Linked DNA regions of Neurospora crassa OR74A. The protein of the gene in region 1 interacts with the protein of each later gene in a biochemical or structural test. Links are inferred from orthologs where the notes say so. Each region holds a gene or a part of one and is shown on either strand. Other genes may lie near its edges. The genes, in order: NCU06389 and pp4.

Region 1 (8,062 bases):
ACGACCTACCTCCAGAGCCTTGGACCGCTGCGTCGGCAGCAACGGCAACGGCAACGGCCAGTACGACGACTCAAGCGGCACCGGATGGGAACGAGATGAGGAGAAATTCGAGGTTTTTGTGGCAATAAACTCTTATGAAGCATGTACTACATGCGGCATGAAGGGGTCGGCTGTTTTGTTCCTTCCTCTGACTTTCCCCCCTTTGTCGTTTCCACACATTTTCACAAAGTTTTCATTCAAAAGATTATGGTTATGGGTGTGAATATCACTTCTCTTTCTTCAGTATTCAAGGACGCAAAGAGATGAAACCAAAAGGAAAAGGCCAGACCCTTGACAATATCTTAGATGTCTTACTCCTCTCATATTACCGTGTTTTTTTACTTTCTAATTTTTTTTTTTTTTTTTTTTTTTTTTTTTTTTTCATATACTTCAAAAGCTAGTTGATGTTGGTCATGTGAACGTCTTATACCTCTCGCAACTTATAATCACGGGAATGGGCATGAATGGGATGGACAGCAAATGGCCTGGTCAGAGTAGCTGGTTATACTACTATACCTATGGAATCTGATATGAAAAAGCCGGGTTGACCGATTCAAAGCTCTAATGTATCGTATCGTATTGCATCGTATCGCATGGGTTGGCGGGCACCCATGCAGACCAATTGATATGGATGAATGAATGAAAATAATTTAGAGGAGGGAACAATGTTATCTGATGTACACTACTATGCTGTTAGTAGGAGGGGGGGCCTCATGAACCCCGGCCTTGTCGATGCGACTATACCGGGTTCAAGACGTGAACAAATTGTTGAACTGTAAATATACCAGGCTATATTCATCTGTTTGTGAGGTGGTGAATCAAATCGGTACGGTGCCAATCCATATCTATGAAGAATATATGTGTGTTTTCGCCTTTATTTTGCCTCCCTAAAGTTTTGGCTTTCACTTTCCGCCTTTCCCCTTCCTTGCCTTCCTTCCCATTCCCCCCTTTCGCGTTGCCTTCCTTGACCCAACCCAAGGCAGCCTCTAGTCTTTCATTGCGTTTGGATCTTCTTCTTCTTCCCCTTCCACTTCTTGTACCACTGACTTTGAAGTCTCCTTCCCCTCCTCCTTCTCCTCTCTTTCTCCTATCCTCACATTTTCCTTTCCTGATGCAGTTGTAGCACCCGTTGTTATTGAAGTTTCTTGCGCTTTATCATTCGCGCTAGTCGTTGTTGTATTGGGATCTGCCTCCGGCTCCGAAGGTTTCCCACCACCACCACCACCAAGCATGCTTTTGACTTTGGAAGAGATATTGAAAGCAATTTTCTTTGGTGTGCTTAGACTCGTAGTGACGGCGGTGGCAGCAGCTAGAGGGGAAGCAGGGTTAGGAGATGTGCGATCTGCCATTGAAGTACCATTGTCCTCGGTGGTGGCACCCTCGGCCGCAGGTCCATCATCCTCAGAGATACCCATCTTCTTGCGAATGTCTGCACCGGCGCTCGCGGCACTGGCATTGCTCCCTCGGCGCTTGGACTGCAGTAACTTGTCGAACGCATCGTCATCCTCGTCTTCTTCACGGCGCCGCTTCTCAGAGATCCTCTCTGGCGGGGTGGCGACAACGGCGGCAGCGGCGGCTGTGGCCGGCCCACCTTTTGTTGGTGTTACTGGTGGTTCGCCGTTCGACTTTGCGCTGTTGTCTTCATCGTCCTTCTTTGCTGGGGCAGTTGCCTCATCACCCGCCACGCCGTCTTCATCATCCGAGCCGTATTCGACTAAGGGCTTCAGCAGAGGAAGAGTAGTAGCGGTGCCGTTGGTACGATGGGAGTCATTTTGAGGTCCTTCATCCTCTTCGTCCGATACGCCGTTCCAGTATTCCTCTTGAGCCTGGTCGACGGTGAGTTGTTCCTCCATCAGACCGGAGGTCGGCCTCGTCGGTCTCCTTTCGCTCTCGGCCGCAGTTGGTCCCTCATCTTCGTCTTCATCCATGAAATACTCGGGATTGGTTGTGTAGCCTTCCGTCTGGTCGTACCGACTGACCATTTCGCGGAAGGTATCCATGTGCGACAGCGCCATAATCTTTTCCCGGTAATTTTCCACGAGGTGCTTAATTAGGTCCTTAACATTCTCCTTATTAATGAGGACGAAAAGATCGAGGCAAGCTGAACAAAGAAGGTTGTCGCGGGTAATCGCTCTTAATAGCACATCGAGAATAGGGCCGAGAATTTGCTTCTCTGCAATGTGCTTCATGTAAAATTCGTCGTTCATCAATACCAGTTGCTTGATAAATCGAATGGCCACTAAAAGCAGTTAACATGCAGGTTAGCCTCCTCTGCTCGACAATTTAACCATTGTTCCCAAGTTGCTGTGCCTACCGAGCTGCAGATGCTTTTGCTTGCATGAAAGCAACTGAACGAAGCGCTGTGCCAGACTGTGGGTGATGAGGAAGTACTTGGCCCTGTGTTGGTGTTGTCGGATGAAGGAGCAGAGTATGTCGTTCAGGTAGCCGAAGATGTACTCCTGCATGGGCTGGAACTTCAACTCCGTCTGCCCTTCGAGATCGAGCAGTGGCTTAAAAAGCCTGGCGGCCGAGTTTTCATAGAAGTGCTGTATCAGAAGTTCTTGCTGCGGGTCGATGCTCTGAAGCTGTCTCAATCGCTGCTGGTTGGGAGGATACTCTCTTGCATCTGGCGGCATGATCGGCGCCACATCGAGCAAAATCCGAAGGGCATCCTGCATTTGCGACTTGACACCGAGATCAACCTCAACCAGAAGAAGGTCGATGATCACATCAGTGAGAGGCTTCTGACGTTCCTGCAGCTGTCGGTAAATCGTATGCCGAACCATCTGGGGATCGTGATCAATCATGGCCACGAGGATATCAGTAGCATGAACTCGTACAGTGACGTCGTGATCACACAAGCCGAAGTTAATGACACGAACAAGACCATGACCAAGGAAATTGGTATACAGATTTTGCCTTGCTGGTGGTTGAAGATTCTTGGCGATGGCACAGCAATCGTGGAGGAAAGTAACGGCCTGTTTTTTGCGTAGGTGTTGCGCAGAGGGGTCGGCGAATATCGAGAAGAGGTCGTTTAGGAACCCACCGTTAGTCTGGATATGGTTGATGATATCAACCTGGTTGAAGAAGATGAGCGAGTTGAGGACGGAGAAGGTCGGGTCATCTAGGATTCGGGCCAGAACCACATCCTTGAGATACAGCAAGCGGAAGGTCTGTTGAATCTTGCGCCGGATTGTATCATCCTCAATCTTGACCACCTCCTTGAAACGGGTCTGGTTGCTCAACCACTGCCGGTGGTTCGCCTTGTGCTTCGGGAAGTCGGGATCGTACTCGAGGGCACCCACCACACCGAGGACACATTCATCAGAAACAGCCTTTTCAATGATTGCAGTGTCGTTTAGGAGGAGCATCGTCTTGGTCATGTTGCAAAGACGAAATAGGTCGTCGAGGCTCTCGAGATCTTCCGCCATCTCGACTAGGTTGCCTAATGAGGGTATGATGTCGTGCTCCATGATGGACTTGACCAGCATCTCGCGGCCATTAGCGGTATTGGACATCTGGCGCATGATATTCTCGAGGTCGGGTAGGTTCGCCAGATCGGCCGGGGGGAGCGTGAAAGTCGAGTTTGACATATCCATAGTAAGATCCTCGGAGAGACTGTCGTCGGCGCCGCCCAGGACATTGTGGAAGGTTTGTTGGACGCCGTCAATAAATTTCCTGACATGATGATTAACGGGCGCATACATTGACGAATCGCGGAGATGGGACCAACCATATCATGGCGCAACCCTCGGCTTCCTGGAAGCTCAAGGCCATATCCACATTGTTCTCGGTCCATACAATCAGGGTATCTGTAAAGACAGTTAGCAGTGCGATGGTGGGGGTCGACGGTAATGGTTCAGGGCAACGCGCCTTGTTGTTTTTGAAAGCCATCGTCTTTAACGATCTTGGTCTCGAGTAGAAGCCGGTCGGGGTGGTCTTCGGATTCGACGATAACGCGGGGCTCCTTTGGCTGGTTCTCCTGGACGGGGACGAACTGGGCGGTGCAGAAGCCGGTACCGCGATCGAACCAGTCATTGTTACGGAGTTCGTAGACCTTGACGCGCTTCTTGTCCGTTGTGTGATGAGGCACCGGGTGTGCCATCATCAAGGAATCGGCGTCCCCCTCCGGGACGGTCTGATCGTGGTCGAGCAGGTCGTCGGACAGATCGATATGCTGGTGCTCAAGAGGTAATTCGGCCCCGGCGTGACTGATAACCGCAAGTGCCGCCACTTTTTATCGAAGCGATGCGCGCCGGATTCTGCGCGCGATGGGGGAGGGCTGAGGGTCGCACGGGAGCAATCGCGCTAGATAAGGCCGAGGTCTGATGAAACGGGTTGACAGTGTGGAGAAGTCGAAGTTCTGGACTTTCGGGGGGAAATTGGGATACGGGCGTCTGGCGCAAGCGGCGTCGGGGGGGTGTGACGTCGCAAGAAAATTGGGATAATATAGACCAATATTAATTTAGAAAATGAATCGTCCCGCCTTTGGGTTCTGCTGCTCTCACGCCAGGCTGTTACGGGTACGTAGAGGTAGGACGTTCTGAACTTCTGATAACCCGACGGGCAGCAAGTCGTCGAGCCTTGTGCGGTCGGCTGAAGAAAAGGTCGAGATAGCCTGTATCTGTATCCGCCGGGGGCCAAGGGTAATACTGTAGAGAGATGTACCAGGAGTAGCAAAGTCGAAGGTAGCGAGCAATAGCGCGATGGCTAGGAGCTGAGGGAGTAAAAAAAGAAACCACAAAAAAGCACTTGAGAAAAAAAAAAAAAAAAAAACTCGAGATGGCGACTTGGCGATGGAATCTTGTCAGCCGATCTGGGAAGCGCGAAAGGCGATAACGAGGAAAAGCGCACCTGTCAAGTCGAGATTGAATTGAATGAGACCAGGTAGAGACTACTACTAAGCGCGCCGCAGGGTCAGATTGAAGAAAGTGGCTTAGGCGTTGCCGCAAGATATGATGAAATCGCGGGTCAATCGCGCTGGGAAATCCCGTTCCTGCTGCAGGCCCAAGGTTGCGACGACCGGCTTCCAGGTTCAGGATGTCTCGTGAAGCCTCTGATGGGGGAAGGGCAGGGCACGGAGCTACGGGGGCAATGGGGCGACGGGGTCTTGTTGACGCTTGACGAAAACCAGTGGGTGACCCGCGGGGAGAGACGGGGACCGAACGGGAGGGAGCCGCGAACAGATTCGCTGAATGGATGGTTGAAAGTGGAAACTGCCCGTCAAGCGTGCAAAGTGGGTGGAAGCACCGCCTGTCGAAGTGCTGTGAGGTGACTTCGTGCCCGACGTTCAGTGTTACACATGTCGGTACGTAGGTACCTCTAGGTACTGTGATGCCATTTGTTGCTTGGCTCGAGCTTTAGCTACCCTGCCGCGCGGATCTTGGCGTGCATCTCTGTTAACAATCCAGATCAAGCTTAGCGCGCCGGAACCCCTAGGCTGCCAGGTGCCAGCAGACAAGGGCAAATGGAAGGTCAGGCCGCCCGTGGAAGTCCAAGTCAGATGCCAGAATGAAAAGATACTCTATCTCTATACTGACTGTTTTCACGATGGAGGGTTTTCCGTCTGGCTTGCTGATAATGAACTAAACCAATGCTGACGTCAATGCCGCGAAAGAGATGAAAGCGCGTTCTACCAATGTTAAGAGAAAGTGGACGCGCCGCGGAACGTCTTATTAAGCATAGGTACTTCGCTGCTTTGACGCACCCAGTGCACACCATGACACGCGCACCTCGGCTGCTCTTCCGAAAGCTTCGTTCGCAAAAGTTGGGATTTTAGGGTTTAAACTTCTACCCTCCCAGCTCGTTCCCCCAGTGCCCGAATCCAGGCCATGTCACATTTATATCGATGAGATCCACCCCCTCCGCCCTATCTCTGGGGCGGTCAAAAGCACGTCTCCCGGCTGCCACAAATATTTTGCATACTGTACACTAGGTCAAAGGATCTCGAGCTCCACTTCCCCCGTTCCCCATTCCGGCTATGACCTTCACGTCTCCATTCCGAGACATTGAAGCACTGGAGTCACAGACTGACAATTGGAATGGTCGGATGGAAGAAGTAGGATCCTGGAAGTACGCCAGCGACAATCCTCCAGCCAAATACCTTACCTCAAAGCGAAGTCGCTGGTGGAGGACAATTTTAAAGTGGAGACAGCATGCCTTATGATCCTATCTCCATTTGAATGCGTTCCCAGGGCACGTCCACCAATTACCTGTAATTACCTTTTCTCGTACCTTTGTCTCGCTGGACGCCTTCTTGTCGGCAACATGGCCTCCCAGGGGCACTCCGCTGTCAGAGGCGTTCCCCTCAGGTATCCCCGCTCCCACGCCACCCCGCTCCCGCTCTCTCCCGCGGTGCCGTTCTATTCTTTCGGGGTCTTCCAGGTTATCGGGGTCTCACACCCGACTCGAGGTAATTTATCGGGACCCACATTGTCCGGTCAGGCCCGGATCCACTTCTGAATAACCTTAACCTCCCGCCCCCGCTTGTCTCAACCCGAACTCCCGACTCTGGGTCTCAAGCCCCACTGAATTACCATCGCCAGAAAAAGAAGGTCTCAACATGTGTACACTAAAACCGGTGGGACTAACATCGTGGAACTTGCCTCTCCTTTGTCTCGGCTTCATATTGCCCGTCGTCGACATCCTGTGGCATCATCTCTCTCACGGTGCGCTAGCGTTGCGGTTATCGCACACCTAAACACCCACTACATACCACCTCCAATTCTCAAGCACCGGCGAGTACGATGGTGTCCATGACAACAATTACATCTTCATCTTCCAGTCCAGCCACCAGACTCTAGGCGCTTGAGCACTGGCACCTTATCATTGGAAACCCCCCCGGGCTTCACGATATCCACCTCGGGGATGAGGTAGTGACCCTGGCTTCAAGGTTCAAGATGCTCCCCTTTCTCATTTACCATTGCCTACCTATTTGCCGCTGATTTTGGCCAGCACAACTTAAGGCTATGCTGACACTGCTTTTTTTTTTTTTCTTTTTTTGTCTTGTTTGTTTATTCTGCACGATATCTGGAGGATCCTCGGGTGGCGGGACATGGCCTTATGTCACCCACTCAAAAGGCAACGGTACACTTCGTGTCTCTAAATTCAAGACGTTGTGGTCTGGAGGCATGATACAACGAGGGCTAAATGCTACAAGCGAAGAATTTTCTTGCTTTCCGTTGCGCGTTCATTCATGTAGCCCGGGATTGCCGCAGCTAACGCCTCCAACACTTGTCACCTTGGAAAAGGAACGTAGCGAATCATCTGCAACAAGAGCTACCATCTGTCCTTCAAACCCCCACGCCAGCTTTCTGCTCCTCTGAAACAGACTCGAATGGTGACAGAAATCACATCTTCGACAATCACAAGCCAATGCAGCATCCGTCGGATGATGGCAGCGGCTGGATTGTTGATCTCCTGAGACAGGCCTGGCCATGGCTTTATACGGCTTGAAAGTTTTGTTCTTCTTTTCTTCTTCTTCTTCTTCTTCTTCTCCTCCCACGTCGTGTTCTACTGCTAACGAGGTGATACACACCAGGTTCGGGACGCCGTACTTTAGCCATGGTCAAATCTTGAGACAGAGCAGGAACACTCCGTATCGTGGCGAGCGCTACTATCGTGACGGGCCTTGGTCTTGGCCATGCCGTATCCGAATTCCAAGCCCCGACGCCTAATTTTCTCGATGTCATGGGCTGCACCGAAGCCGATTGGCTTTGCAATCATGAAGATAATACTCCTGCCACGATGGCCCTGGCCTGTGGAAAAAGCATTAGGAGGATCATCAATGCATCACCCGAGATCAACAGCATCGGCACAGCACCGGCAGGCTGCCTCTTCTGGGCTCAAGATTCGCGATTGACTGCTAGCTTCGGGTGACAGCAAGATATGTGCCACGATGTGATCGGGAAACAGGCTGCAGGAGGCTGGATTTGTGTGCGTATGCCGGTACTGCGGTTACGCCAGGAACCCGTCAGTCTTGTATTCCGGCCAATCGCATCCTGCCCGAATAGCCATGCTTATC
Region 2 (7,917 bases), about 190 kb from region 1:
CGAGCTCGCGGGTGGGGTACTTGAATTCGAAGAGCTTGGCAATGTCGAGGGTGCGCGACATGATGTGCGCCTTGACAAAGGCCTTGGCGGCCTCGCGGCCGCAGTGGGCGTAGATGGCACCGACGACGGCGCGCACAAAGTAGGCGTGGGCCCGCTCAGCAGCGGCCCGGGTGTCGGGGTTGCCGTAGCGGTCGTAGCTCACGTCCTGGTCCTGCTCATTAGCGACCATCTCGGCCTCCTCCTCGTCGGGAGTCTTGTCCTGATCCTGCTCTTCCATCGCCTTCTCCAGATCGGCGGCAACCTTGGGGTCGCTGCGCACGACATCACCAAAGTCGTCGTCGAGAACGACACGCGAGGCCATACCGCGACGCCACTTGAACTTCTCGAGGTAGGCGAGCTCTGTACGCTTGTAGCCGAAATTTGTGATGGCGACGCCGGGCTTAAGGGCATCGAACTGCAGAAGACCGGGATCCACCTCGCCGCCGGGCACCGCGGCGGTATCAACACCCCATGACCGCGCAATCTGGAGCAAGGGCTTCGGTCCGGCATAAGCCTTCATGGCACTGAAGAGAATTCCCTGGGGTAGACGGGGGTATTTGCAGAGGAGCCATTCGGCAATATGGTAGTTGATGAGGGTCTGGCCAACGAAGGCGAGGTTGGCGTTGTTGAACTGCGGGTTCTCGTCGGCCGAGGCGTCGACCAGTGTCCTTGCCAATGTCTGTAAGGGGATCTTGGGAGAAAGATTCAAACGGGCGTGGAGGGCGGCCAGTTTGGCCGAGGTCAAGGCCCGTTCGGGGAGGGGCGACGGTAGGGACTCGGCCGCGGGGGGGAGGGGCTCAAGCGGGGGGAACCGATCATTGTTGAGATCGTGGGATGCATCGTGCTGAGCGAGGGCAGCTGTCGATTGCGATCGCACCGAGATTGCAGATCGGGATCGGATGGCGGCAGTGGCGGGCGACACTCCGGAGCGAGCGGCGACGAGCAGCCGGCTCGTCAAGCTGGGCGTTGCTATCCTCTTCATGGGCGATATATTTGATGGGTGATGGTCGGCTCGACAACCGGGTGTTGACGTGCTGGGGCCCAGGTTCCGTAAGTGTGCGCCGTCTGGAGGCCCTGCCAAGAAAAGGATGGAGTGAGGGAAATCGGACGGGCAGGTGGTGAGCCGGTGGTCGCGGGGTGGGAAGCTACTCGGGATCCCGGTCGGAGTCGCGCGTTGATCGGATGGGTTCTCGTTCAGACTCGGCCGGCCGTCGAACACGGGTAGAAAAAAAAAGTTCTCCAATCTGAACGCTCACCACCCGTACACTAGACAAGCCCACCACCCAGAGCCGTGAATCAGTGCTCAAGCGCAGGGGTTACTCCCCCAAGACCGAGACATAAAAGCCGGCTGACATGATTCGTTGTTGGCCCAGTGAGGGTCCCCACAAGATCCATCTTCGACCCCAATCCACTATCTGCGCTGTCTGTTTAGCATACGGTGCACTGTGGTGGACAAGCGGGAGCTGCCCGCCCGCCGCCCGCCGCCCGTCTGTCGCATGCGCCCTCGGCCCCAGTTAGGACGAGTGACATGGTGACTTTCAGGCCTGGATGGTTGATGCGATTTAGCCCCTCGTCAGCCTGTAGGCGGATTCATCATTCGTCCTTCTATCCAATTGTTCCCGCTGAAGCATCACCACTATTGTGCCGTCGTTCGCAGTGCATCGCAAAGTTGACAGTACAAACCGATCTTGCTTAACTGCGAGGTGGAAAGAATCATTCCTCGTTGAACGTCCAACCTACCTCACCACATATCCCAAAACTTCATCACAATGGTGCGTATCCACCCGATTGCTTAGAATAGCCATCATCACTACTATGTTTTGTGTCTGCTAACTCTCTATTTTTCCTGTCTATAGGGCGGCGGTCCCCAAGTTCCGTGAGTTTCATCGCCCTCGACATGCGCAAACCCTCCGCGCATTCTGTCCAACCCAGCCTGCGTTGTGTCATGGATCCGTCCTAATCGTTGCCTCGCCCTTCACTCCAGCTACCCCAAACACGTCTGGTCGCCTTCGGGTGGTTGGTACGCCCAGCCGGCCAACTGGAAGAAGAACACGGCTGTTCTCGGTGGCGTCGTCTTCCTCATCACTGCCGCAGTCTGGAAGCTTAGCGCCGAGAAAGAGTACCGTCACAAGATGCCCGAGCCTGGTCGCTTTTATCCCAGCAGATAGTATGTCCTGGCAGACAGACCCCCATCCAAATTTTTATACATGCGTAACGTTTTCCGCGAGCGCAGACCGCGGGGATGTTCTTAAGCTGACGCAACCGATATTACCTCCACTAGCTGGAGCAGACAGATTATCGAGTATGAGCGGGCGCAAAAGGAGAACGGGACGACACAGGAGAAAAAGTAAATTTGGGCATAGGCCCTGCCACCCCGGCCGTTTGGTCATACAGTACATGGCTTCCAAAGGCTTGATGGAATAACAGGACATCTTGGCTTGGTTGAGGCCGGCCGGTTGGTGGTAGTAATGCAATATTCGGAATACATTCAACGTCGGTTACCCTCCGCTGGCCGTCTTGCGTTGGTGCTCCAGAGCCTGGCTACGTCGTGAATAAAGCTAACTTTGATGTGGATCAGTTCTGTAATGGATTATAGAGGAAACTACCTCTATTCTTACCGTTTCGTACTATTGGCGAATACTAGTGAACTCACAGAGAAGAGCCCACCTTCCATGACTTTGAATCGTGAACATGCCTTAACAATGTTCTTCGCATGTTTTGGTGTAAACGCAAGCAACAAGGTAAGCTGCTGTGGAAACCTCGACTGTCTATTTAATCGAGGTGGGCCTCGGCGGACCTCAGTTCCTGGCTGTGCGGAGCTTTTCGGTCGGTTCATGACTCGGCATCAAGACAGCGGACACGGCGACCTGGGACCCGCACCGGATGGAGCTGGGCCGGCGCGCGTCCGAAGCCGATCATCCCGGATCGGAACTGCCGTCGATAAGTCCATTCTACCTTCCATGTAGCCTGATTTGCTCCCGATCTCTGCCTTACCGCTTCCCGGACACTCAATGGCAACATATCTGAGAATTGGCCTATCTATGTTCGCAGTGAACTTCATATATACTGACTGGTAGGAGCTGAGTGGTTCCGTCATCTTCACGTTGATTCAAAAGTGGTATGCTTCTATAGGACCCTGCATAATGGAATGAGGGAGACGATGGCTCAGCCTATCGCTCGAACTTCGACTCACACCCATACAGGAGAGTTACGATCCTGGGTGTGCCAAATCTATCTGGCAGTTTCAAATACTATGTCCGGTCGATTTATTTAACGAATTTCATGCCAATGTTTTCCCGACCAGACATTGCAGGCCCATTTCTTGGGTTTTCCTGGACAAAGATCTTTCAACCCAAAATCCATGACGCTGGGGTATAGTGTCCCAAAATAATACGCACACTGAGCTACATGTCGCAAGTTATGTAGTCAAACCTGTCCTCGTAGACCGAACATGGGACAACATATTCCAAAAAATGCCCGGTATCGGGTTTACAGGAAGTAGTCGGCCACTGGCTTCTTGGCTGGCATTCCCCTTGAATCCTGAGGAGCCGCCTGGAAGACCCGGTAACGCCTTGCTGGACCCTTCATCGGTTGTAGCTCACCCTCTCCAAGCCCTCCAGAAGATCCTGCACCGCCATTACTGCGATTGACATCGCCATTACTGCGGGCAAGCACACCCAAGCCTGAATCGTCTTCCGATAGCTCAAGAAGTGCAGCAACGTTTCCGCAGCGATAGCAGTAATTTGGTGCTGACCAAACGGTAACGATGCTGGCATCGAACATTTCCTTAAAACCTTCCATGACCAGCTGATGGGCACGGGCGATCAGGCTGAGGTCATTGCGATGATTGAACACTTTGACGATGTCGGCACCAAAGAGGAAGCCAGCACCCCGAGGCGACAACCCCCAACCGTCAATCTCGTCCGGATCGGACCACAAGAGGTCGCACATAGCACCCTCATGTGGAACCTCCTGTTTTCGGTCCAGCAGCCTGATTTTGTCAACCTTGTCTATCAGCGGACTAAGGCCGCCGTGCACACATAGAACGGCGCCGGCTGGGTTGCCCACTGATCCTCTGCTCAATCCCGACGCTCCTGAGCCAGGCGGGCCTGTATTACTCGGTGGTGGTATCCCGTTGGTCCTGCTCTGTACATCGCTGTCTGCCCCGTTGTTAGGCCGAGGAAACCTGCTCATTACCTCGCCCTGTGCGTTGCACACCTCGATTTCCACCTCGCCTCCTTCAGGTGTTGTTGGTATACTGGACTCGCCGGCGCTTGGTGAGATGGTATTGGAGGCCCCAAGAACAATAGCGCCCAAGGCGAGATAGTCGAACACATCGCAGCAGTAGCGCCAAACATTCGCGCTGCCATATTTCCTGTAACATTCATCGTAGAAACCGTACACAGTTGTAATCTGTCGTGATTCGTGGTTGCCTCTGATGAGGGTCATGCGGTCGGGGTATCGAACTTTAAGGCAGAGAAGAAGTAAGAATGTTTCGAGCGAGTAGAAGCCACGGTCAACGAAATCACCTATCAACATCCGACAATACAATAGTCAGCTTAACATGATTTTGACGACATGATTGACAGACCAGGGACAGCCTTACCCATAAACAGATAATTGGTATCGGGAGGATCGCCGCCGACGCGGAACAGTTCCATCAAATCGTGAAACTGGCCATGAATATCTCCACATATCTTGTTGCCGTTGGGTTAGATTCGACATGTGTGTATTTCGATCTGGATAGTTCGAGACGTACCGTTACCGGCGCATTGACTGTAACTACGTTTCCTTCTTCGATCAAGATTTCCCGGGCCTTGTGACAGAGTTCGCGGACGTCTGATTCTGGTATTGGCCGGCATGCTCGCAGCTGAGCGATCGCCCTATCCACCAAAGAGGTCAGACACCACGAGCAATAGTCGCCGGCGGGTGGTTGCGAATGCCCGATCGCAAGACCACCGGGGCACTAACCTGTCCAGATCACTCATGGCTGTAGAGGCTTATGAATAACAGATAATGCTGCTTTGCTGCGAGTGGATGCCGCGCAGTTAGGAGGACTGAGCCGGGCAGAGGCTTGTATGTCAGAATAGAAGTTGAAATGCGGTGTCTCGTAGGGTCGCGTCAGCTTCGCGTCATGCTATGCCGAAATGTTTGGTGGTCCGTCTTGCAGATGCAACAAGCACAGATAGTAACCCTTTTGGAATCGGTCTTGATGGTTGTCGTGGGGATGCGGCGAATGATCTGTTGACAGGGCTGAGGTGTTCTAGGCTGGCGGCTCTGTTTTTTTTGCGACGGGAGACTGGGGATGGCGCGAAACCACAACCTCGACAACAATGGCACGAATGGTATGGCGGCGGTCGCCAATCCAGCAAGAAGCAGGGAGCAAGGAGTTTTAGCGACAGGCCCAGGGACCTGGAACTGCCAAGTGAACCGTAGAAATCCCTGTCTGGTGGGGAGAGTGAACGTCGAACGGGTCAGTACACAGTACGTAGGTGCTAGATACCTACCTTCTGCATAGTAGTTTACATCATCTGAGGTAAATACAGTACCCTTTTCTACAAACGCATGCAAGGTAGAAGTAGCCCATCAAGTGCAAGCCTATGGCGGCCCGGATTCCCAGTTTGGTATGAGAGAGAGATACCAGCAAGTGCAAAAGCCCCGTTAAGTGCACGTGTTGCGAGCCGTCGCCCATAATGCACTTGTAAAGAGACAAGCACGCTAGCTGCCATTGGTTAGATTTCGGCACCAGACGAGCTCAGGTACTGTAGTGTGCGCTAGTACCTAGGTACGTACTGTGTAGCTGCCGTGGAGGAAGCTTGGGGCGGCGGGAGTGCAGGAGCGAAGATGCACTTTCCATTCCAGTGCGGGACAGCGCGGGAAGCTGCCCATTGAAGTTTTGAGAGCTGAAGCTGACGAGGGGTCCACTGACGAAATATTTTCGAGAACGGAACTAAAGCGCAATCGAAGCTCCATTTTCCCGGAGCTTGACGACAGGTCCCGTCCACGGTCCAGTTCGCTCAACGACGATCTTGACAAGTAACCTGCCCACCTGTGTGGCACATACCTCATCCTCACTGACTTCCTCATTGCGCGTTGAGGTTAACCGCTGCAATCTCGTGATATTCAAGGGTTCAGGTTGTTCCCAACGCGCATGATGGTCCTTTAAGTGTTGCAAAAGCCACGAGTGAGTCCCGTCGGCCCAAAGCCCAAAACGCGAACCTCAATGGCTGATGAAATTGGCGCAAGCTCCCCTAAACTTAGACCCCCCTTCCTCTGGACCTCTCTTGGTCAAGCACCCCGCCCGCCCTCCAATCCGAATACCACTCATCATGCCACCACCTCACCTCCACCCGAGGTCGCGTATGACTTCCTCCCTCTTCGCAGCAACTGTTGTGGCCAGCTTCCTTGTTGTCGGCGTCCCTCACATCCTGCCGTGTCCCGCCCCCAGGGTCGCTTTTGCCGATGGAGATATGTCTGCCGACGGACAGCCCAAGAGACGCAGACGCAGACGCGTGGAAAACACCGAAGGCAAAGACGAAATCCTGCAGTTTGAGACAGAGCCTGGGTCTGGCGACGTAGGCAGGGCACGAGCTCTGAAGAGAGAGTGCCCAGTGCCCAAGCCCGGGGGTATGCTCGGCAGCATGCTCGGCTTCCACAAAGACAACGATATCAACGACCCTTCGTCTCCGTCCAACAGGTGATGACCACACCGTACACAATGCTGGATCTCCGGGGGAATGGGATCGCAATGACCCCATAATAACGCTCTGTAACTAGACGACGTTCGTGATCAATCTTGTACCTACGAGCTGCTCGATCCACGGATATGGGCCATATGTCGAACGGAGTCATCATGGTGTTGGCCGTTCCTTGGTTTTTTTTTGTTTGGAAAATCAGATTTCCCGGGTCACATTGCTCGCAGTGAGTGGTCAAAAGGCGGCCGGCATGTAGCCCGATCACAAAACGAGCCTTCTGTTCAGCAACCAACGGTTCAGGTCACGCCTTATGAAGAATGTAAAGCCCGACTAACCAGCACCCTATCTGGCTCAAATAAATCATCTCCTCATACGAATTCCTACATGAACCCTTCTCAGCATGTTGGAGCTCATCGAAGAATGAGACCGGCAGGAATTTCTGTTCAACCATACAGTCCTGTGTGGGTGATACAATCGAAGACTACATAGCCCTTGCTTGGCCACATACCTGCTTCTTGAGATGTCGTCAAAGAAGTCTAATACACCACCGGTCTGTCCAGGTTTACCCAGGAGCTTGTTACCTACATCGTTCGCGTCTTGGTGGCTCCAGTCGTTTCCCTCATCCACCCCCAACAGGAGTTCAACTCGTAGCTTGGTACCGCCAAAAAGTCCAGACGGCAATACGCAGCCGGCTTTGCTTTCTTTTATCTGGGATGTTGCATCTTAGCAGCTCGGATACGCGAGAGTCCCCTTGCGGAACGCATCTACCCTTGTACATTATGCTTGTACATTCTGTTTAGGCTCAGAGCGCTAGTAGACCGAAATATGCGGTTATGAGGGCACAAGATCAACCAAAAAACATGCTCTCATCAATGGAATCCGTCGAACCCGAACCCTGCTAGAGCTTGGCGTTGCGATCAGGGGTTCGCAGCGGGGGCGGATGGGACTCTTTCATGCACCCCAGATCCAACCTCAACGTGGGGGTGGATCTTGGTCAATGGACATGCAGCTCCCTCGTCCATACCTTGACTTCATTTACTTCCTTCATTTCACTGTCAACTTCCAGGAATTTCAAATTAACCAAAACTGAGAATCCACGGAATGGCCGTCAGCTGTTCTATGGGCTTTACGAAACATGAATCACCATCAGCTTGAAGTGTCGCAGTGGTAACCCCGCCTCCCC

What was found.
Region 2: the proteins of NCU06389 (region 1) and pp4 form a complex in vitro, tested with the Saccharomyces cerevisiae proteins (2 studies listed by BioGRID). The link is inferred for Neurospora crassa OR74A from reciprocal best matches to the Saccharomyces cerevisiae genes PSY2 and PPH3.

The regions. Positions count from the first base shown.
Region 1 is NC_026504.1:2,673,319-2,681,380, forward strand, and holds NCU06389 (DUF625 domain-containing protein), read right to left. Parts: upstream 5,174-8,062; 5' UTR 4,894-5,173; exon of another isoform or gene 4,829-4,893; 5' UTR 4,148-4,828; coding exon 3,913-4,147; intron 3,852-3,912; coding exon 3,773-3,851; intron 3,718-3,772; coding exon 2,354-3,717; intron 2,279-2,353; coding exon 1,026-2,278; 3' UTR 682-1,025; downstream 1-681. Other genes in the region: NCU06390 (hypothetical protein), read left to right, coding at 1-128.
Region 2 is NC_026504.1:2,482,998-2,490,914, reverse strand, and holds pp4 (calcineurin-like phosphoesterase), read right to left. Parts: upstream 5,441-7,917; 5' UTR 5,028-5,440; coding exon 5,011-5,027; intron 4,923-5,010; coding exon 4,799-4,922; intron 4,737-4,798; coding exon 4,646-4,736; intron 4,569-4,645; coding exon 3,529-4,568; 3' UTR 3,054-3,528; downstream 1-3,053. Other genes in the region: NCU08299 (mitochondrial 54S ribosomal protein YmL3), read right to left, coding at 1-1,021; NCU08300 (uncharacterized protein), read left to right, coding at 1,809-1,811, 1,896-1,915, 2,024-2,206, 2,321-2,390; NCU08302 (hypothetical protein), read left to right, coding at 6,369-6,740. UniProt on the Saccharomyces cerevisiae protein: Forms the histone H2A phosphatase complex in association with the regulatory subunits PSY2 and PSY4, which dephosphorylates H2AS128ph (gamma-H2A) that has been displaced from sites of DNA lesions in the double-stranded DNA break repair process.